Linked DNA regions of Cricetulus griseus. The protein of the gene in region 1 binds, or shares a complex with, the protein of each later gene. Links are inferred from orthologs where the notes say so. Each region holds a gene or a part of one and is shown on either strand. Other genes may lie near its edges.

Region 1 (3,606 bases):
GGGAGGGTGACTATTACAACATCTGCTCAGGGGTGGTTCCTTTTTCTTCATCCTCCTTGAACTCAACTTCCTGACCCTATGTGGTCTTATGAAACCTTTGGCTCATGGATATTGACTGGTAAGAGCCCGAGGACTGAGCTGAGTTCGTAATCTTAACACACAGTAACCCATACACTTATTCTTCTCCTTTCTCACTCTTTTCCTGATTAGTCCACTTACTTACTCAGCCAAGCATCAAAGATCTCTGATGACATACCAGATCTATGTTCCTTATGAGCTTAGAGAAGAAGAAGAGGAGGAGGAGGAGGAGGAGGAGGAGGAGGGAGGAGGAGGAGGAGGAGGAGGAGGAGGAGGAGGAGGAGAAGAAGAAGAAGAAGAAGAAGAAGAAGAAGAAGAAGAAGAAGAAGAAGAAGAAGAAGACAACTAATCACAACAAAATGTGACCTTTGGAAAGACACTTACCTTAAGCATCAGTTTCCCCATAGGTTTAATGACTTGGTTAGCAGTCATATTGTCACCAACTTTCTATTACCTTCATCTGCAAATTACAAACTGTGGTCTGCCAGCAGTTTAGGAACTGTAGAGAAATTTCATTGTGCTTTTGTCTGCAAAATACCAAAGTTCTCAGAAAGAGGGTTGGAGCCAAGGCATAGAGAGGAATGAAGGAAGTGCCGAGTTCCAGTGTCTCATCTGGGTGGGGGTGGGGTGGGAGTGCAGGGTCAGCAGGGGCCATCCAGATGCTGGGACCCCCCTGTGAAATATCACACCCTCTCTGCCCCATGCTTGTCCCGGTCAAACTGGATTTCAGTCTGCATAATTTGTACCAGTTAGAAGGGTTGGGAGAGGGTGAGAACAGGAGGGTGAAGACTGAGGAGGGAATAGATACCCTGAAAGTCAGGCATGAGGTGGTGGTGGTGGGGCAGAGTAAGAGTCTGGGGTGAAGGCTGGTGGAAGCTAGAGAGAGGAGGTGGGGCCAGGAGGAGCAGCAGGCTTGCAAAACACAGATAATTGTCAGCCCAGCACAGTAGGGGTCAATTTAGTCTACTTACCCAGTGGCAAGAAGAAGGAGAAAAAAAAAAAAGTGGGCTGTAACTTAAAGATCTTAAGACTCACTAGAGAGGGAGGAGTTGGCCTCAGGGTGGGAGGAGGGAGTGTGGAGTTTAGGAGGAGACAGAGACTCAGGAGGGTGCAAGGAAGTGTCTTAGCTGAGCTGGGGTGGGAAGGGGAAGGTAGAAAGAAGCTGCCGGAGCAGCACATCCTGCTGGGTCTGAGCTTCCAGAGGGGCTTCTTCTGCATGCCGGGAAGGGCGCCCTCAGACCTTCTCTTACTCAGGGCGCTAGCTGAGTTGGTGATATAGCTCTGGAGCTGGTGTCCCTGGGACTCACCGCCTACCTTCACTCCATTCACCAGTATGGAAGATGATAGTTACAACTACTATGGGGCCGACAACCAGTCTGAATGTGAGTACGAAGACTGGAAGTCTTCTGGAGCTCTCATCCCTGCCATCTACATTCTAGTCTTCCTTCTAGGCACCACCGGCAATGGCCTGGTGCTCTGGACCGTGTTTCGGAGCAGCCGGGAAAAGAGACGCTCCGCTGACATCTTCATTGCCAGCCTGGCAGTGGCTGACCTGACCTTTGTGGTGACTTTGCCACTGTGGGCCACCTATACCTACCGGGAGTTTGACTGGCCCTTTGGAACCTTCTCTTGCAAGCTCAGCAGCTACCTCATCTTTGTCAACATGTATGCCAGTGTCTTTTGCCTCACCGGCCTCAGCTTCGACCGATACCTGGCTATTGTCAGGCCAGTGGCCAATGCTCGACTTAGGCTGAGGGTCAACGGGGTTGTGGCCACAGCGGTCCTGTGGGTGCTGGCTGCCCTTCTGGCTGTGCCTGTAATGGTGTTCCGTTCCACTGCTAACACAGAAAACAGCACCAAGGTCCAGTGCTACATGGACTACTCCATGGTGGCTACCTCAAACTCAGAGTGGGCCTGGGAGGTGGGCCTTGGGGTGTCATCCACTGCTGTAGGCTTTGTGGTGCCCTTCACCATCATGCTGACATGTTACTTCTTCATTGCCCAAACCATCGCTGGCCATTTCCGTAAGGAGCGCATTGAGGGCCTGCGGAAGCGGCGCCGGCTGCTCAGCATCATCGTGGTATTGGTGGTGACTTTCGCCCTGTGCTGGATGCCTTACCACCTGGTGAAGACGCTCTACATGCTGGGGAATTTGCTGCACTGGCCCTGTGACTTTGACAGCTTCCTCATGAATGTCTTTCCCTATTGCACCTGCATCAGCTACGTCAACAGCTGCCTCAACCCCTTCCTCTACGCCTTTTTCGACCCCCGATTTCGACAAGCCTGCACCTCCATGCTGTGCTGTGATCAGAGCAGGTGCAAAGGCACCCCTCACAGCAGCAGCGGGGAGAAGTCAGCCAGCTATTCTTCTGGGCACAGCCAGGGCCCTGGCCCCAACATGGGAAAGGGAGGAGAGCAGATGCATGAGAAATCCATTCCCTATAGTCAAGAGACTCTTGTGGACTAGGGCTTGGACCAAAGAGAAGCCTGGTGCTTTGGGTCTGACCCAAACTTTACCCTTGCGCTCTGAGAACCAGATAGCATGGCTGCATTTTCTCCCTGACCCCTGGCTCCTTTAGCTGTTCCCTGCCTCCAAGCTCTGACTTGCCCTCCACTTCCCAGAGGTTTGTGGTTCAGTGGGAAGAGATGGAGCCTTGCAAACAGACCTGTGCTCAGCTATTCAATATCCTCGAGGCTGACCTCGCACAAGTCTCCTATCCTCTCCAAGCCTCAGTTTCTCTGCATTAAATGGGAGAATGTTTTATGGACCCTAAAATGTTGAAGATGATTCCTGACTTAATTTGCTTCCTTCTACTCTTTCTACCCCCTCCCCTCTTTTCCTTTTTTGTTTTCTCTGCTGCAGAAATTTTTACTGTCAATTACTCTCATTCTAGATCTCGTTGTCTTCTAGTGGATTCCTAAGGCTGGGCTTCTAAGGGTTAAGAATGCTGAAGCTTGAAGGATAACCCTGAGTTCTTCTCCTGTTTTCCGAGAGCCAGCAGGGCAGGGTGGGCTGTGTGTGTAGGCAAAGAATTAGTGCTTCAGTCCCCAGAGCCAGGAGCTCTGGGTCTTTCCAAAAGTTGGATTAGTTCACTGTTGGTCCAGACACCAGGGCTAGACTGAGTTTTGAATAGAGATTTCTCTTTGGCAGAATCTCCGTGTTGCTTAGTAGATAATGTATCCTACCAATAACCCATTGCCCTCTTCTGCTTGTTTATAATTGTGAGAATTACAAGGTAACAGGGCTGAGGAAGCTGTGGACCATCCCGTTCCTATGAAGGTGCAGTTGGGAAAGGAAACCAGAGAAAGAGGGGTTAGAGGGGAATCTGTATTTAGTCTGTATGCTGCTTGGCTCCCCTCCCCCAATCCTCATTGTCTCCCTCCTACAGAACTGTGAAATGTAGAGCAGTTCTTTCTCTAGTCCTGTCACTCATCCCACCATCTCCCGGATATTTTCTGTAGGTGTTGGTGCTACTTGACACCAAGAGTCACTTGTTTGGGTAAGACTGTTTGCTTTTTGTCTATGTG
Region 2 (4,305 bases), on another chromosome or scaffold:
CCAAGGCACTGTTCTGGTCTGGAGCTGCGTTTATGAGGCAGACAAAGGTCACTTTGTTGTGGACACTTTTGGTGAAAGGAGACTGACATTGTAACATTTCAAAGGCATTTCATAGTATATACCATGGATTTCTACATCCTCTGTGGTACATAGAAACACTGTCCCATGTACCTTTCATGTACATTTGGATGTAGACTTGGAACAAACAGCCTGGCTCGCTGCAAGGTGGAAACACCTTTTGACTCAGCCTTTCGACATGTGTTGAGTGCCACCTATGTGCAGAGAATGATATTGGGGAGTTTGGAGAGATGCAGAAGATTGAGACTGTAGGGTCCTGTCTTAGGGGATTCCCAGCCTGAGGAAAGAAGCAGTGCATTTCTTTGGGAACCCCCAGGCTGGAGAAGGAGCTAAGAGTCCCTAGTAGACAGACAAACGACCCCAGGGCCCTCTTATAATGGAGAATCCCAGCTGACTGTAAAAGAAATCCAGCTCAGTTTGGAAGGATCCAGGAGGCCTCTCCCCATAAGGAGACAAAACGAGGTAGGGGACAGCTCCAAGCAACAAGAAAGGGAACATGGCCGAAGCTGCAGAATGTCTCCCGAAAGTGAAGAGTATCCAAGAGGCAGCAATTCCAGGGGGGGCAGGTTGGGACACAGGGACAGGAGGATGCCTTTTTTAGATTGGGTGGGAATTTGAGGTTTTGCTGCACTCACGGGGCCAGTCTCGGAAGAGGGTACTCGCTGGGAGACAACTGGAGAAATAAGGTGGTAGGCAGTTACCCAAGTCTCTTTTTGGAGCAGAGGGTTGAGACAGGGTTTCTCTGTGTAATAGCCCTGGTTGTCCTGGCACTCGCTCTGTAGACCAGGCTGGCCACAAACTCACAGAGATCTGTCTGTCTCTGCCTCCTGAGTGCTGTGATTAAAGGCGTCCACTACCACCACCGCCCGGCTAGTTTACCCCAGTCTTATGTGCAACCTAGGCAACCACCCCAATTCTGAATCAGTTGAAGATGCAGAGGAGAAAGAAGGTGAACTCCTTGAGTAAACCCCTACTTGGGAATACAGAGTGACAAGGGGAGAAAGAACATGGTCAGGGTCAGAAATGGATTGGGGTGTTGTGGGGATCCGGAATGGGTCCTTCCCCAAATGCCCTGGTATCCTGACAGCTATTGAGGAAATCAGGTAAGAAAGGGTTAAGTGTGCCCCTCCACTGATCCAAATGCTTCCTGTGTTTGAAATCCTTCAGGTCTCTACAAACCCTCTGCACCCCGGCCAGGCAGGCATTGTCCGGGGAGCCGCTGTGGGTTGTCCGAGCGGCCGCTCAGCCTTTGTTGTGGGGCCACCTCGGGGTTCCCTCTCGCGTCCTGGATAGGGCTGCAGCGTGCTTGCCTGAAGGGGGTTGGTGCGGGAGGCTCTCTCCCCCTCCCTCTTCCTGCTCTCCCCCCCCCCCAGCCCTCCCGATGACCACATGACCAAGTGGGCTCGCTGCCAAACCACAAGCTACAAAATGCAGCCCCCGAAGTGAGCGGGGAAGCATTCTCTCTAGCAGCCTGGACCAACGGATAGTTGCGAGTCGCGGACTAAGCACCGCCGGCCACTTGGAGAGTTTCTGCTGCTATCCCGGAGCCACCTAGGCCAGCTTCGCCGCGCTACCCCGCGGCAGGAAAGGAGGCTGCTGCAGAGCAGGGGCGGCGAGCAGGCGTGGGGCCAGCAGCCAGCAGCGTTGCTGGGGCACGCACCCTCCCGTGGTCCGGGAGCCACGCGAACTCCGTGCCCGCACGCGCCAGCCCCGTCTCGCGCCTTTCTCGGCGTCCGGGGTGCCCGGCCTCTCTGCCCACGCTCCGGCTCTTCAGGGAGATTGAGGACCCAGTTGCAACATGAATCTACGACTCTGGGTGCAGGCGCTGCTCCTGCTCTGGCTCTCCTTGACTGCGGTGTGTGGAGGTGAGTGCCTGTCCTCCCTGCTCGCCCGGGCTTCCTCCGGGGCTCTCCCGAACTACAGCCTGCGGGATCCTCTCTTTCCACCCCATGCACGCTCTTCCTGCCTCCCAGGAAACCCGGCGCGAGCCTTGCAGGAGCAGCCACGCGCCAGCCACACAGGGAGGCCGATTGACAGGGCATCTGGGGCCGGGGGAGACGTGCTTTGTAGCTACTGCTTCCCGGAACAGTTCGGGGTTTGGTATTATCACGTACATCACCACTTGGCCCTTCTTGAATGCCCCTCGCAGTTTAAGGCGCTCAGGGCCACAGACTTGCACCCTATGTCCTGCACCCTGCACCCTGCACCCCACGTGGTGGCCGGGAAGAGGATGGGGGCATGTCAGCTCACTTCGTGGACCGGTGAGTGGATCAGGCGACTGACCTGAGCTGAGTGATCAGGGCTCAGTGTTGAAGGTCTCTAGGTCTTGGAGTTTAGGGGCCGCTGGCAAGTTCAGGGGCTCAAGCCGCTGGGGATGATGTGCCAACATGTAGACGTGACACTTGTTGCATAGTCTGGAGCACGCTGCGGGGGCGGGGGCGACCGCAGTGGCTAGTGGATCCCAGCTGTTGCCTGAGTGTAAGCAGAGGAAGCCTGCTTAGGCAGATCTGGACCGGACAGAGTCAGGCTGCTCTCCTCCTGTACTCCAAGGTCCTGGATGATCTCGTTCCCTACAAGGTTGTGGGACACCTGGCCCACAGACTTGCTTCTTCTGTATTCTGGCTTTATCCTCCACTCTTGCACCAGTATAACTTTGGTCCCCCTGTCTTCAGGTACCAAACCAGCAAACAGGCCCTTCGTGCAATTCAGGGAAGGGGGGTCCCTTCCCTTCCACCTGTACCGATCTCCCACCTGGAAATTCTTGGCACTGGAACTCCTTTGCCTACTTCAGTCCAGGTCTTCAGTGTCCCAGGAGCCCCTGCCCAGGCTGCCCATCCTCTGTGCGGCAGAGCCTCCTGGAGCTGCCAGCTCGCACCTTCAGCTGCCCCAGTCCTGTGATCTGGCTGTCACTGCAGCCTGCCTGGCACAGCAGAAAGGGAAGGTCAAGACCAGGTGAACAATTGCCAGTGCCAGGGCTGGAGTCACAGAGTCACAGGGAAGTGAGAGTGGAGAGAGAGAGAGAGAGAGAGAGAGAGAGAGAGAGAGAGAGAGAGAGAGAGAGAGAGAGAGAGAGAGAGACAGACAGACAGACAGACAGAGAGAACGAGCAGGACAGTGGGTTTCCTAGAGGAAGAGCCCAGGAACTTACTTAGTTTGACCTCCCCCCCCCCAGAACAGGAGGATGGCGTGCTGCCCGGGAGCCTCTGGGGTTCTGGCCAATTCCGCTTGCCTCTCTTTGTAGCTACCTCCTTTCTATGCTCTTGTTCTTTGTCATTGCCCTGCACTCGGTACACTGCCAGGCTTCTCTGGAAAGTACATTGGTCTGGTTTGTGCCTCTTGCCTCCAGGTAGCTGTCCAGTGGTCTCCTGCAAGACCCTAGCACCGAGACAGCCACCTCCTTGGGATGAAGGGTGCAGACTTTTCCCCAGAAACTCCTGCCAGCCAGGCAGTGGCAGGAAGGGAGCAAAAGCTATGAATCAAGACACCACAGCAGCCTGCTCCTCTGTCCTGGAACTTACACAGCCAATATGGTTGGCAAGACACATCTTCATAGTTTGACTTCAGGCAAATAGTTAGAGGAGTGCCTTTAGAGAACATGATTGGGTACAGAAAGGGTACCCCAGAGGAGCTGCATACTTCCCCAGAGGGTGAGGGGAAGGTATAAGGGAGACTTTGGCTAGTAGATACTCAGTGAACCCTTCAGGGTCCAGCTGTTGGGATATTACTAGTAAAGGGGTGAGCTGATTTCAAGGAAGCAAAGCAGGCTTCCAGAACACTTTGGGTTTCTGGTCTAGACCTTGAAACTTCTTGTTCTGTCTTCTCATTTTACATTAACTCTTTGGCACACCCTAATGTGAGTATAAGCATCACCCTTACATTTTATTTAAGATAAGCATTGGCTACCTCTAAAGGTCTCACTATTTTCCTACCTCTTGACCACTCCCGGAGCCAAGGAGGGCACCTTCTTGGAGGTAGCCAGCAGCCAGAGGTTCAGGTATGCACACTCCTCCTGTGTCCTGGTCTAGAAAGCAGAGCCCTAGAATAGTCTCGTCCTTAGCACAGACTTGCATGAGGTATCCAGAGACAGTCCCCGAAGTTCAGAAACTGTGTGTCCTCTTCTCTTCCACTCTCTGTTCTGACTTGGAATGTTCACCTTCCCTCTTTGCCCCTCCTCCAACTCCACAGACTCTCCACTGCCTCCTGACCTGGGATACACTTTGCTCTTCT

What was found.
Region 2: the proteins of Aplnr (region 1) and Apln are in contact, whole or in part, in a cryo-EM structure (PDB 8XZG), measured with the Homo sapiens proteins. The link is inferred for Cricetulus griseus from reciprocal best matches to the Homo sapiens genes APLNR and APLN. Residues at the interface, in NP_005152.1 of Homo sapiens: Tyr35, Phe78, Trp85, Tyr88, Thr89, Tyr93, Ser106, Ile109, Phe110, Met113, Pro163, Val164, Arg168, Gln180, Cys181, Tyr182, Met183, Tyr185, Glu194, Glu198, Leu201, Gly202, Ser205, Tyr264, Lys268, Tyr271, Ser275, Cys281, Asp284, Leu285; in NP_059109.3 of Homo sapiens: Arg66, Pro67, Arg68, Leu69, Ser70, His71, Lys72, Gly73, Pro74, Met75, Pro76, Phe77.

Annotation. Positions count from the first base shown.
Region 1 is NC_048599.1:90,406,258-90,409,863, reverse strand, and holds Aplnr (apelin receptor), read left to right. Parts: upstream 1-1,411; coding exon 1,412-2,545; 3' UTR 2,546-2,900; downstream 2,901-3,606. UniProt on the Homo sapiens protein: G protein-coupled receptor for peptide hormones apelin (APLN) and apelin receptor early endogenous ligand (APELA/ELA), that plays a role in the regulation of normal cardiovascular function and fluid homeostasis.
Region 2 is NC_048604.1:21,410,255-21,414,559, forward strand, and holds the start of Apln (apelin), read left to right. Parts: upstream 1-1,485; 5' UTR 1,486-1,876; coding exon 1,877-1,943; intron 1,944-4,305. UniProt on the Homo sapiens protein: Peptide hormone that functions as endogenous ligand for the G-protein-coupled apelin receptor (APLNR/APJ), that plays a role in cadiovascular homeostasis. Functions as a balanced agonist activating both G(i) protein pathway and beta-arrestin pathway of APLNR.